Callithrix jacchus: one gene and its partner. The main gene of each other region encodes a partner of the protein of the gene in region 2 in a complex. Links are inferred from orthologs where the notes say so. Each region holds a gene or a part of one and is shown on either strand. Other genes may lie near its edges.

Region 1 (7,011 bases), on a different chromosome or scaffold from region 2:
CAGCTCTGTTAGCGCCTCTAGATTCTCAGTCTCCTTGATCTGGTCGTTGTAAAGATCCAGCTCTCGAAGACTCTGTAGCTCCTCCAGATTCTCAATGCATTTAATTAAATTTTGGCAGAGGCAGAGAGTCTTCACTTTCTTCAGTATCTCAAATCCTTCAGTCTTCCCAATGTGATAGTGATTCAAATCAACATCCTCTGCATCTCTGTTCAGGTTGATGGTTTTCATAGGTTCACATAGGCAGCTCGTGTTCTTCTTCTGGGTCCTCCTCCCCATCCTTCAGGCTCTGTTCACTGAGGTCAGCCACGATGCCACTGCTGTGCTTCTTCCCTTCTTCATCACCAGATTCTTCAGACTCGACCCGCCTGTTAACCTTTTTGATCTGGAGACGGAGGAAACCCCTCCACCTCCCATTTTCAAGTGATTCTCTTGCCTCATCCTCCCAAGTAGCTGGGATTACAGACATGCACCACCACACCTAGCTAATTTTTTGTTTAGGAGAGACAGGGTTTCACTGTTGGTCAGACTGGTCTTGAACTCTTGACCTCTGGTGATCTATCTGCCTTGGCCTCCCAAAGTGCTGGATTATAGGTGTACGGCACCAGGCCTGGCTAAATAACCATTTAAAAGCAAAATCAAAATTAGCCTGGCTAAATAATCTTTTTAAAGCAAAATCAAAGTATGGCTACAGGAGAGGAAATATCTAAATTGTAGTCAACACAGATTGCTTACTTAAGGCCTTATATTTGTACCTGTGTCCATACCATATCACAGCACAAAAACATAACCCACCCCATCTGGCTCTCTTAAGGTACATAATACATCAGATTAATGCACATTCATTAAGTGGCATCATATCTGTATACTGGACAGATATGGGTGTGAATTCAGGGTTTCCTTGGGTCTCTTTCAAGGACTCTCCTCTTCAGTATTTCTATTTCCTCATTTTCCTTCTATTTATGAAGAACTGTTATTTTTACATTTAATGCCCAATTTTCACCACTTGTTCATGTTAGTTCTCTGAAATGTTACTGCCTATGAACCGTGACATGCACTCGTTGTAACAGAAGCAGAAGTTAAAAGATGTAGACATCACACAATTCAATGGTCATTTTAAAAATAGAAAACAATGATAAAAATTCAGTTGCCAACTTAAGAGGATTTTATACATTATGTTCTATTTTTCATGGTCTGAAATTATTTCTCAAGAAAATGGATTTTATTTCCAAACCTTTACTATCTTTGCTAGAAAGAGAAAAACTAGTTTTCTCTTTGACAAAATTGTCCCAGGAGAAGAACACAAACACTTTTCCAAATTAGAGCATAAGTCTTCCTTAAATGTCCCAGTGTGACAATTAGGATAGAATAGCAGTCTTTTAAATATCATAAAGGCTATTGTTAAGATGGTGGTTTTGGCCGTTTTGCAGATGGTCCATCGAAGTTAGTTACGTTATCAATGTTATTTTCATCTTCTGCATCATCTTCATCATCACCTTTTAAAATAAATATTTGTTGTATGACAATATGTTCTGTGGTTGAAAGAAATATATATAGCTAAAGTGGTTGAGAGTAAAACCATTTCACTTTAGGAACTAATAAAACCATGCACATTTTAGATTAAAATGATTTTGAGAATTTCAGTGTTTAAAATCTTTATTGTCTATCACTTTCCTTTTTGGAGATATCAATTCATTCATAATAAAATCCACTCTTTTAATGTGTACAGCTTAGTGGTTTTTAGTATATTCACTAGCCTGTGCAACCATCACCACTATCTAATTCTAGAACACTTTCATCACTCCAAAAATAAATGATATGCCCATTAGCAGTCACTTTCCATTCCCCTCAGCCTTTGGCAACCACTAACCTACCTTTTTTCCCCTTAATTTTTATTAGAGACAGGGTCTTGCTATGCTGCCCAGGCTAGACTCAAACTCCCAGTTCAAGTGATCCTCCTGCCTCAGCCTCTAGAGTAGTTGGGACTACAGGTGCCCACCACTGCACTCGGCTCACTAATCTACTTATCTCTATGGATTTGCCCCTTCTGTACATTTATAAACAAAATCATATAACATGTACCCTTTGCATCTGGTTTTCACTTAGCATAATGTTTTCAAGGTTCATTCATGTTGTAGCATATATCAATACATCATTACATGTTATTGCTAGTAATATTCCATTGTAGGGACAGATCACATTTTGTTAATGCACTTCCACCTCCTAAAGGTGCAATGCCAAGCCCAGCCAATTGTTGTTTCCACATTGTAGCCACTATAAATAATGCTGCTATGAATATTCATGTGTAAGTTTTTGTGTGAACATGTTTCCAGTTCTCTTGAGAGGGCTACCAGTGGAACTGCTGGGTCATGTGGTAACTTCAGGTCAACTTTTTGAGGAGCTACCGAACTCTATTTCCCAGTGGTTATACCATTTTACATTTCCACCAACAATGTACAAGGTCTCCAATTTCTTCACATTCCAGCCAACACTTCTTGTTCTTTTTGAGTATAGCCAACATCCATATTACCAAGATGTTAATTCCCAAGATGGAAGGAAAGTAGTTTAGGCTTTTCTTAAAGAATTGTAAATCCTGACTCCAATATCTAGTTTTTGGGTTTTTCAGTTCAGGACAGTCCAAATGAATCTGTCTAGTTTTGCATTCAAGACAGTTTAAAAACACTAATGCAGTTAAACTTCATGTTTCTACTTTCAAACTGCACCTACAAAACCGGAATATAGCAAGAGAGTCCCTGGGAGTCAATACGTGTTAATATTAAGTCTGTCTCAATCTTTGGAACCTGTTCCTACTCTGCGATAGACTGCACTGCACTCTTCCAAACATAGTTTAACACCTGGTAAAACTTTCTATTTTCTTCAACACCCAGCTCAAAAGTCTTGTCATCTCTGAAGCCTTCCTGGGGTCTCTGGGTTTGCAATAGTTACAGAGGGCCACAGAATCACTTTCACTCTTAATAGAGTGTCTGCCTGTCTAATCCCCTTGTGTTTAACGAGGGTAGGAACTCAGCCACATTCACCTCATTCTTCCTCCAGGGCTCAGCTCAGGGTTTGGCACATAATAGTAGGCATTTGGCACTATTTCTTTTTTTGTGATATAAATCAAAAAGTGGTAAGAGTCGTGGAAATGCTTGAGTAGAAGCAATCCAGATAAATATGTTGAAAATGCCAACAATTTTTATCTTTTAAATTTATTCTTAAAATAATAATATAAATGGGGTCTCGATATGTTGCCCAGGCTGTTCTAGAACTCCTGACCTCAAGTGATCCTCCTGCCTCGGCCTCTCAAAGTGTTAGGATTACAGGCGTAAGCCACCTGCCCCGACCCACCAAAAATTTTTAGATGCAATTCTTCTTTCCTCGAGGCTCACTTTGTCCAAGTCTGTCACTCTACACAGGCTCCCCAAGCCGATTTCCCCTGGGCGCCCGCCCCGCCCTCCTGTCGTTGCAGCACAGTCTCAGAGCTCACCGTCCAAGGCCTCGTCTGGAGCCGCCGCCACCCGGTGCTGCACCTCCCCCTGTACCAGGGGGCCGAATAATTCCGTTACTAGCTCCTTCATCTGGGCCACGCCAGACAACAGGCCCTGAAAAGGGTCGCCGCCACCCGGCTCCTCACACGACACCCGCAACTTCTGCGACTTCCCTTCCTGCCAGACGTACTCTCCCAGCAACTCCATGGCGACCGCTAAGCTTAAAGAACGCGACACGGGAAAGCGCCAGCCGGAGGCGGAAATCAGCCCCCGACCGGCGCAGGCGGGAGAAGGGAGAGGAGTGACTTCCGTTTGTCGGAGGTCGCTCCTCCTCCTTTCTTCGCTTTTTTTCTTTGTCATTGGTTTCTGGCGCTCGGGCCCCGCCTCCTCCGGCTACGCCCCTCGCGGCCGCTTTTCCCGCCTCCGCCGTGGCCGAGCCGCTGTTCGGGTGACAGTTGAGGATGGCCGGGGCTGAGGGCGCCGCTGGGCGGCAGTCGGAGCTGGAGCCCGTCGTATCGTTGGTCGACGTCCTTGAGGAGGACGAGGAGCTGGAGAATGAGGCGTGCGCTGTCCTGGGCGGCAGCGACTCTGAGAAATGCTCCTACTCGCAGGTGGGCGTGCGGCCCGGGCCTCGTCTCACCCCGCTCCCGCCGAACCTCCCCTTCGCGGCTGGGCTGTCCCTATTCCCGCCTGCCACGGTCGTTTCCTCAGTGGTGGTCCGGGGCCGCCGTTCGTCTGCCGCTTCCTCACCCCAAGCCCACTCTGCCCTTTTAGCTCCAACCTCCTGGGCCCCCTTCAGCCTGTGTCCAGCAGGGGCCCCCCTCTCCCCTCTCTAACTCCGTCCGGCCCGCCTGGTTGGGTCCTTGAGCCGCTGTCCCTCCTCTCCAGCTTCTTCTTGGTGCCCCACTGCTTTTCACGAAACCACCCCGTGACCTCTCAGTCACAGACATCTTTGTTTTTGCTCTTCCCATCCTAATATTTATTTATTTATTAGGGAACTGAATGGGAGAGTCAGGTTAAAGAGATTTTCAAATCCATAAGGATTTGCGGTGAGCTCCTTGACAGCTTGTTCCTCTGCAATTTAGTTTGACAAGTGCTAGCTAGTACTTTTTCTTTTTTTCTTTTTTGGCAAAATGAAGCAAGTACCCATGTCTATTTGCAGTCCGCTCCCTCCCCTGGAAATAGACCGGAAACAGAACAGCAAGCGACTCTGGCAAGGGAGGGGAGAGAGGAGAAAAGGATCTGTTTGGCATTTGGAAGACGTTGTGAGTGAGCAAGTATTTGAGGGGGTGTGACGTGGTGTTTAGTGACTCACCCTATACTTCAAGGTACAAAAATGGAAAAGGATGGGTAGGAAGAAAACTGACAAAAGGATGAGAATTGGTAGGAAGAAGTGTTACCTAGGCAGAGGGGTGAACTGGAACACTGGAGAGATGAGGGGAGAGACTTGCATTCATTATGTGGTATGAACTGAGATCATAATAACCAGTTGTCATTGTTGACTGCAAAGTGTTGAATAAACCTGATATCCACACATAGCCCCAGGTATTTTAAAGTCTTTGCTCACCACTAAAACCATTTTTCCTCTGCTTTCCTTAAAAAAAGGGGAAAAAAGTTCTAAATCTACATGTAAACTATTTTTGAAGTGTAGTTACCTTTATAAAATGGATTTCCTTAATATTTTCTTTTTCTTGTGGTTTAAAAATACGGAAATTTGCACAAATCATGTACACAACTTGAAAGCGTGCATGTTCTCACCACCCAGTTCAACAACTAGAACATTAGGAGTGCAAAAGGCTTATTGGAATAGAACTTTAAAAAAAGAAAAGAAATAGAACCTTACTGGCATCCCAGAAGCCTCCTTGTCTGTCTTCTTCCTTCCCTAGAGGAAGGTGACACTGTTAAGATTTATGAAAGTTTTGCCTATTTTTCTTTAAGCTTTTTATTTTTAAGCTTTTTTGTTTGTTTGTTTTTTTAACATTGTTAAGATTTATGAAAGTTTTGCTTTTTTTTGAGACCGAGTTTTGCTCTAGTTGCCCAGGCTGGTGTGCAATGGCGCGATCTCAGCTGACCGCAACCTCCGCCTCCTGGGTTCAAGCAGTTCTTCTGCCTCAGCCTCCTGAGTAGCTGGGATTACAGACATGCGCCACCATGCCCAGCTAATTTTTTGTATTTTTAGTAGAGACAGGGTTTCTTCATGTTGGTCAGGCTGGTCTTGAACTCCCAACCTCAGGTGATCTGCCCACCTCGGTCTCCCAAAGTACTTGGATTACAGGCCTGAGCGACCCCACCTGGCCTGAAGCATTTTTAATCTACAGATAAATTGAAATAATAATATTATGAACACTTGTATACCTTTTATTCATATTCATTATTTTTTTTTTTTTTTGAGATTAAAATTTCACTGTTGTCACCCAGGCTGGAGTATAATGGGGCAATCTTGGCTCACTGCAACCTCCACCTCATGGGGTTTAAGCGATTCTCCTGTCTCAAGACTCCCGAGAAGCTGGGATTACAGGCGCCCACCACCATGCCCAGCTAATTTTTGTATTTTTAGTAGAGAGGAGATTTCACCACGTTGACTAGACTGGTCTTAAACTCCTGACCTTAGGTGATTTCCCCCCTTCCCCCACCCCCCCAGCCTCCCAAGGTGCTAGGATTATAGGCGTGAGCCACTGCACTCGGCATACATATTCACTTTTAACATTTTGTCACATTTTTAAATCTCCTTTTCTATTTACAATTTGTTGTTTTAAATTTTTGAACTATTTAAAAATAAGTTGCACACCTGATGACTCTATATCTCTAAATAAGCATGCATCTCCTAAAAATCAAAGGGATTCTTTGCATGTGTTGATTATCTCTTTGGTAGATTTACAAACATTTTCCAGGATGAAAGTATGATATTATATAAACCTATACATATGCTCCTATGTTTTCGTATGTTAAAATGATTAAACAGATTGGTTTATTCACAGCTGGCTGACAAATTCAGACTTCCTATCACTTTAAGAAATGTTGGTTTGCATTGTGGCTAATGCTTGTAATCCCAGCACTTTGGAAGGCGAAGGTGGAGAATTGCTTGAGCCCAGGAGTTTGAAATCAGCCTGGGAAACATAGCAAGGCCTCATCTCTGCAAAAAATAAATTAGAAAGAAAGAAAAAAGTGCTTGCATGAGAAAATCACTAGTATAGATGTGAAATGTGCAACTGTGTTTTGGTCGATGCTCTGGATTGTAAACTTCTTAGTCTTAATGGTTTTTACAGAATGATCTTGACCAGACATAATCTGATTTTAATTATTTTTCAGTTCCTAGTGTGAGTATTATGTAAACCATGCTATTACATTAATTCTCTTTTCCATTTTTGGTCTGTCTTTTAGGGCTCAGTAAAGAGACAAGCACTATATGCCTGTAGTACCTGCACCCCAGAGGGAGAAGAACCAGCAGGAATTTGTTTAGCTTGCAGTTATGAATGTCATGGAAGTCACAAACTATTTGAGCTATACACAAAAAGGTAAACATAGT
Region 2 (6,434 bases):
CCTCAGCCTCCTGAGTAGCTGGGTAAGTGCACTCTGCTCTACCATGTGTTTTTTTGTTTGTTTGTTTGGTTTTTTTTTTTTTGTAGAGATAGGGTGTCACTATGTTGTTCAGGCTGGTCTTGAATTCCTGGCCTCAGGTGATCCTCACCCCTCAGCCTCCCAAAGTATTGGGATTACCAGCAGGAGCCACTACACCTGGCCAGGTGAGATCGAATCTTACTCTTTTTACTTTTTATGTTTTTTTTTGAGACAGGATCTTGCCCTATTGCTCATGCTGGGCTCAAGTGATCCAGCTGCCTCAGCCTTCTGAGTAGCTGGGACTACAAGTACTTGCCACCAAACCCAGCTATTTTTTTTCCTTCCTTTAGTAGAAATGGAGTCTTGCTGGTCTTGAAATCCTGGGCTCAAGTGATCCTCCTGCCTTGGCCTCCCAAAATGCTGGGATTACAGTTGTGAGCCACTGTGCCCAGCCCAGTGAGATGCAGTTTTAAATATGGTGGCTTGGATGGCCTGGAGCAGAGAACTGAGGCCATCTGACTTGGGTTTAAAAGCTGCCAGCTCCAACTGTCCAGCTCTGGGGCCACGGCGCCAGACAGCGGTGGTGGTTACAGGACCGTTGGTGTTTACCAAAACTGAGACCTGTCCATGCAGCAGAGGGGAAGTTCACAGTACGTAAATGATGCCTTAATAAGCCTGAGTTAAAAAAACAAGCAACTACACAAATAAGGAGTAAAACAGTAAAGAGAAGGACATGCAAGGCAGGACTGGATTCTGACCCAGGATAAAGAGAAATTGCGGGATGGCAGCTGTGCAGTCAGCCCAGACAGAGCCAGCCAGACGGAGGACAGAGGGCAAGGGAGATGGTTTAGAATGTTACCATCATATGATAATGATAACTAAGCCATGGGAAAACAAGGCAATTTTTAACCTTAGGGGAAAATCTCTCAGAAATGAATGGAATCTAACAGAAGCATCATGAGAGGAAGAGGAAGGGAGACAGAGCTAAATTGGGGCTAGGTTTGAGTTATATGGGGCTGGGTGTGGTGGCTCACACCTGTCATCCCAGGACTTTAGGAAGCCCACACAAGAAGATCATTTGAGCCCAGGAGTTCAGAACCAGCCTCGGCAACATAGTGAGACCCCTCTCTACAAAAAACACAAAATTAGCCAGGTGTGGTGGCATGTGCCTGTGGTCCCAGTTACTCAGGAGACTGAGGTGGGAGGATTGCCTGAGCCCAGAGGGTCAAGGCTGCAGTGAGCCATGACTGTGCCAGCCTAGGTGACAAGAGCCAGACCCTGTGTCCAAAAAAAGAATTTTTTAAAAAGTAAAAGATCTAAATTGCCAACTGTTCATCAATAATTAACGTTTAAAAAATATTAAGAAAGGAAGAAAGAAAGGAATGAGTAAAACAGAGGGAGAGAACAAAGTGTCATCTTCATAAGCTCGAGACCAGTGCCACTGTCACTACTGGCAGAGCTCCCCAGATTCTGCAAAATGAAACTGTTCCTCCTTATGGAGTAATAGGGACTGAATATGTACTGCCACATGAAAGAACCCCCAAACCAGACCAAATATATGGAACACAATAAACTGGCTGTGGGGCAGTGAGGGACAGTGACAGGTGGGAGCTGGGAAACACTTGAGGTAAGCCACGTGACTGGCCCAGTGCCCTGTGTGGAGTTTCCTGGTGGAGCCAGGCAGATACCCGGACTTTATGAGTTGAAACTCTGAATCAGAGAGTCCCAGTAGCTGGAGTTTGCAGGATGGGGAGCTAGAGAGAAGAGAGCTGCACAGGGAAAAAACCCTGGATATCCACGGAGAGTCCTCCTCTGGTGTCAGCAGACCACCAGTGAGCACAGGCATGTGAGGAAGCTACCCAAGGCCAGGGAAAGACATCACCCCAGCAGGAAAGGAAGAAAGGTGACTCCAGTATGCAAGCAGGACAGGGACTAGCAGCTGTCCCCACCCACCAGGATACAGAAGCTCATATTCACCTGGGCAGCATTGGCCAGGGTGCCCTGAATGGTGTTTGTTGCCTCCATAGCCGGGAAACTGAAGTCTACCATAAGAGCTGCTCCAGTCCCATGCAGCACATCTTCAGAGAAAGACTAAAAAGGATCAAACCGTTTCCATGTTTTCTGAGGATACGCAGTTGTACCTCTTTATTTCCACTCTCAGAAAATCCAATTGAATCTACAAAAGAGTCCTAAGACTGAGTTTAGTGTATTTACAGGGAGCCAACTCCTTCCCCAAACACTAGTCAGTTGACCCAGCACTTTCTTCACTGTTAGAGGAAAGAAGCTCATGTTAGATTTAAAATTCAGGAAAAAAAATTAACGCTAAACTTGCAAAAATTATATGCTGTATATTACAGTTACACGTTTATTACTATTAACTTCAGGGGAAAACAACTGTAATAAATGTAACTATAAGGAAGGATTCCAAAATGTTGACAGTAGTTGATGCTGAATGAGAGCCCAGCTGATTTTCATTTTCTTCCATTTCCTAAATTGTCTTCAATTTCCTTGAATATCTGGATTCTAGAACCTCCCCTGTAACCGAAGCACAATGACTAGAATATTGGGAGGTGCTGTAGCTGAAATAAACTCAGACTTGGAACAGTAGCTCAGTTTTATTTTCTGTGGTAACAAACATTTAAGAACCAGATCAAACAAGGGGCCCCTGAGCACCCACGGGCCAGTACAGGCCGACCATGAGGCTTTCACAGGAAAATAGCAACTGTGGGAACTCCTGCCCTAGGGAAAGCTGGGTGCCCTACCTAGGGAGACGCAATATTAGACCTCACCCCATTTTCCCAGGCCAGGCTTAGCGGGGAACGGGGGGCCCAAAGCGCTGCATGGTCCGCAGCACCAGGGAAAGCTGGTCGAGAAAGTTGATGACGGAAATTCGGAGCAGGCGACAGTCTTCAGCTTTCCAGCGGCTAAAAGTGAGGGATAAAGAAAATAAAATTGGAGGTGACAACTCCTGGTCCGTCACTCTGCCGCTCAGGCACCCATTACAGCAAAGCCTCGGGAGCCCATGAGACAGCCCCTCAGGTGGAGACCGGCCCGGCGCACCTGGCGCTCCTTAGGGTTCATCCATGGGTGCCCCCTACGTCTCCATCGGTTGCCTCCCCCAACTCCAGCCCCTTTCAGAACTTACACGGTCAGGATCCTGCCGCTCACTGTGAGATCCTTCCCAATCACCCTTTGGTGGGGCTCGGCATCTGGAGCCAGGGACCCATGCGCGATTTCCGCCTCCAAGGGGGTCGGGAAAGGCACACTAAGGGTGCTGGGGGGGCATTCGGTTAAGGTGCCATCTGATACGACTTTGCCTATGTCTCAGGCCTTCTTGATCCTCTGAAGCCCCCCCTCAGGTCACCCTACCTAGAGTCATTCGCTTTACTCCTCACGTGGCCCAGGCCACCGCTGGCAGGGCTTCTCTCCTTCCATTTCTATTTCTTCCCCTCCTCCGAGCACCCCTGCTCGTCTACCCCGGTCGCCGCCCGCCCTCCTTTCTTCCTCCCCGAATCCAGCCCTCGCCCCGGCGCAGGCAGCCGCCAGTCTGTTCCCGACCTCCCCTTGGAAAGAATACAATATGTGCGGCCGTATTCCTGAACCCCTGGCCGCAGATGCGGCGTCTCTGCCAGGACCTGGCGGGTGCGGTGGGGAAGGTTCGTCAGCCGGAGCTCCCGCTGTGTCCGTGCCCCTGGGGCAGCTGTGGCCACCCTGGCCATCCCTGCCAATTGTGCCTGCGCCAGCGTGTGCATTCGCGCACCGCATGACCTCCGCCGCCACGCAGCTCGGACTCCACCCCCGAGGCGCAGGCCCCCACGCCCCGCCCTCTCTCCCGGTCCCTTTCCCGAATCCCCGCCCCCTGCGCCCGACTCCGCCCACACGCGCCGGCACTCGTTCTTGGGAAGCCTGCCTGGCGCGTGGTCAGTTCCCGCCAAGCGGCCCTGCCGGGTGCCTTCTGAGACCGAGTCAGCGGTTAAGAGGCCGCGGTCTCCTCCAGAAACTCTGTCCCTTCGCGCGTAACTCGATCCCAGGCCGTCAGTGCAAAGTGACCCACAGTCAGTCAGGCCCCAGGAAGCCAGCCCTGACGGGGTTTTGAAGACCCCGTGGTCGCCTAGCCCAGAGGCGCACCCTGCAAGGCTCCGCCCCTAACTGCGCCTTGTGACCGCAGCGCGCCTGCGCCGTCTAGGGCCTGTGGCCTCGGCCGGGCAGGCCCTAGTGAGGCCCTAGTGAGGCCCGAGGGTGTCTGGGCGCTTCCCGCCCTGTTTCTTACCGGTACCCAATATCCCCCGGAGATGTGGCACTAACGTGCATGCAGCGACTCGCGGAGGGACGGTGGCGGGGTCTGATACCCCCCCACAAGGATACTGCTCTTGCCCACGACCCCATGGTCCAACCGAGGGGGCTTCACAGTGGACGGTAAAGAGTCGGATTTACATTTTAGAGGAGGCATTTTAGAGCGGGGTGGGGGCGCTGTGCGGAGCGGGAGCCTGTCAGCAGAACGCCTGCACTGAGGCGAAATATGACGGCCTTGAACGCAAGTATTGGCGCTGTGCCTAGGTCTCATATAACGTGGAAAATCAGACTGCACAACTATGAGTATGAAAATGCCACTTTAGGCCGGGCGCGGTGGCTCACGCCTGTAATGCCAGCACTTTGTGAGGCGGAGGTGGGGGAATCACCTCAGGTCGGTAGTTCGAGACCAGCCTGGCCAACATGGAGAAATCCCGTCTCTACAAAAAAAAAAGAAAGAAAATGCCACTTTAGGGCAGGCTAAGTGGCTCCCGCCTGTAATCCCAGCACTTTGGAAGGCCAAGGGAGGAGGATCACTTAAGCCCAGGAGTTCAAGACCAACATGGGCAACATAGTGAGACCACATCTCTACAACAAATACAAAAGTAACTTTTCTTTTCTTTCTTTTCTTTTTTTTTTTTTAGAAACGGGGTCTCACTATGTTGTCCAGACTGGAGTGCAGTAGCTATCCACAGGTGCAATACTACTGATCAGCACTGGATTTGACCTGCTCCATTTCCAACCTGGGCCGGTTCACCCCTCCTTAGGCGACCTGGTGGTTCCCCGTTCCCGGGAGGTCACCCTATTTATGCTCAACTTAGTGCGGACACCCGATCAGCATAGTGCACTACAGCCCAGAACTCCTGGGCTCAAGCGATCCTTCAGCCTCAGCCTCCCGAGTAGCTGGGACTACAGGCACGCAACACCGCACCTGGCCAAAAATAAATTTTAAAAATTAGCTGGGCATGGTGGAGCATGCCTGTAGTCCCATCTACTTGGGGGACTGAAGAGGGTGGATTGCTTGAGCCAGGATTTCGACAACAGCCTGGGCAACATAGTGAAACCATGTCTCCAGAAAAAAATGCGTACCTGTGGTCCCGGCTACTAGGGAGGCTGAGATAGGAGGATAGCCTGAGCCCGGGACGCAGAGGCTGCAGTTAGCCGTGATCAACCCACTGCACTCCAGCCTGGTTGATAGAGCGAGACCCCGCCTCAAAAAATAAAAAGAAAAGAAAAGGCCAAGTTAGTCTCTTACTGTACACATGTAGAGAAATCCTAGAGCATACAGCAACATGTAAATCCTCATGATCTCTGCATAATAGGATAGGGGTGATTTTAATTTACTTTTAGTTTTACCTCCAATTTTTCCAAAGTGGGTTTTTATGACATTTACAGTAAAAAAAAAAAAAGAAGTATTGGCTGGGCGCGGTGGCTCATGTCTATAATCCCAGCACTTTGGGAGGCCAAGGCGGGTGGATCATGAGGTCAAGAGATCCAGACTATCCTAGTCAACATGGTGAAACCCCATCTCTACTAAAAATACAAAAATTAGCTGGGCATGTGGTGCACGCCTACTTGGAAAGCTGAGGCAGGAGAATTCCTTGAACCCAGGAAGCAGAGGTTGCGGTGAGCCGAGATCACGCCATTGCACTCCAGCCTGGGTAATAAGAGCGAAAACTCCGTCTCAAAAAAAAAAAAAGTATTGGCCAGGTGCGGTGGCTCACACCTATAATCCGAGCACTTTGGGAGTCTGAGGCGGGCTAATCACGAGGTCAAGAGATCCAGACCATCCTGGCCAACATAGTGAAACCTCATCTCTACCAAAAATACAAAAAAAAAAAAAATAGCTGGGTATGGTGGTGTGTACCTGTAGTCCCAGCTACTCAGGAGGCTTAGGCAGGAGAATCTCTTGAGCCTGGGAGGTGGAGGTTGCAGTGAGCTGAGATTGTACCACTGCACTCCAGCCTGGGCAACAGAGTGAGACTCTGTCTCGAAAAAAAAAAAAAACATTGCATGGGATCACATCTCTGGTTAAAACCCTAGAATGATTTCCTTTTGCACTTGGAATAAAGTCCTGCTATATCTTATAAAAGTCCCAGCTCCTTCTCCTGCGTCTGGGACCTTCT

What was found. Proteins that work in one complex are often made in the same cells at the same time.
Region 1: the proteins of LAGE3 (region 2) and GON7 are in contact, whole or in part, in a crystal structure (PDB 6GWJ), measured with the Homo sapiens proteins. The link is inferred for Callithrix jacchus from reciprocal best matches to the Homo sapiens genes LAGE3 and GON7. Residues at the interface, in NP_006005.2 of Homo sapiens: Pro60, His61, Ile62, Phe63, Thr64, Leu65, Ser66, Val67, Pro68, Phe69, Pro70, Glu74, Arg102, Ile103, Glu111, Cys113, Leu116, Arg117, Val120, Ile121, Leu124, Asp125, Leu127, Ser128, Val131, Arg132, Met134, Gln135; in NP_115879.2 of Homo sapiens: Met1, Glu2, Leu3, Leu4, Gly5, Glu6, Tyr7, Val8, Gly9, Gln10, Leu17, Asp28, Pro29, Phe30, Gln31, Leu33, Leu34, Val37, Met40, Lys41, Val44, Thr45, Leu47, Phe48, Asp49.

What each region holds. Positions count from the first base shown.
Region 1 is NC_133509.1:128,018,504-128,025,514, forward strand, and holds the start of GON7 (EKC/KEOPS complex subunit GON7), read right to left. Parts: upstream 3,751-7,011; 5' UTR 3,693-3,750; coding exon 3,485-3,692; intron 1,494-3,484; coding exon 1,399-1,493; 3' UTR 1-1,398. Other genes in the region: putative E3 ubiquitin-protein ligase UBR7, read left to right, coding at 3,947-4,096, 6,867-7,000. UniProt on the Homo sapiens protein: Component of the EKC/KEOPS complex that is required for the formation of a threonylcarbamoyl group on adenosine at position 37 (t(6)A37) in tRNAs that read codons beginning with adenine.
Region 2 is NC_133524.1:150,269,304-150,275,737, forward strand, and holds LAGE3 (EKC/KEOPS complex subunit LAGE3), read right to left. Parts: upstream 3,819-6,434; 5' UTR 3,784-3,818; coding exon 3,596-3,783; intron 3,293-3,595; coding exon 3,164-3,292; intron 2,943-3,163; coding exon 2,828-2,942; 3' UTR 2,808-2,827; exon of another isoform or gene 2,554-2,807; 3' UTR 2,361-2,553; downstream 1-2,360. UniProt on the Homo sapiens protein: Component of the EKC/KEOPS complex that is required for the formation of a threonylcarbamoyl group on adenosine at position 37 (t(6)A37) in tRNAs that read codons beginning with adenine.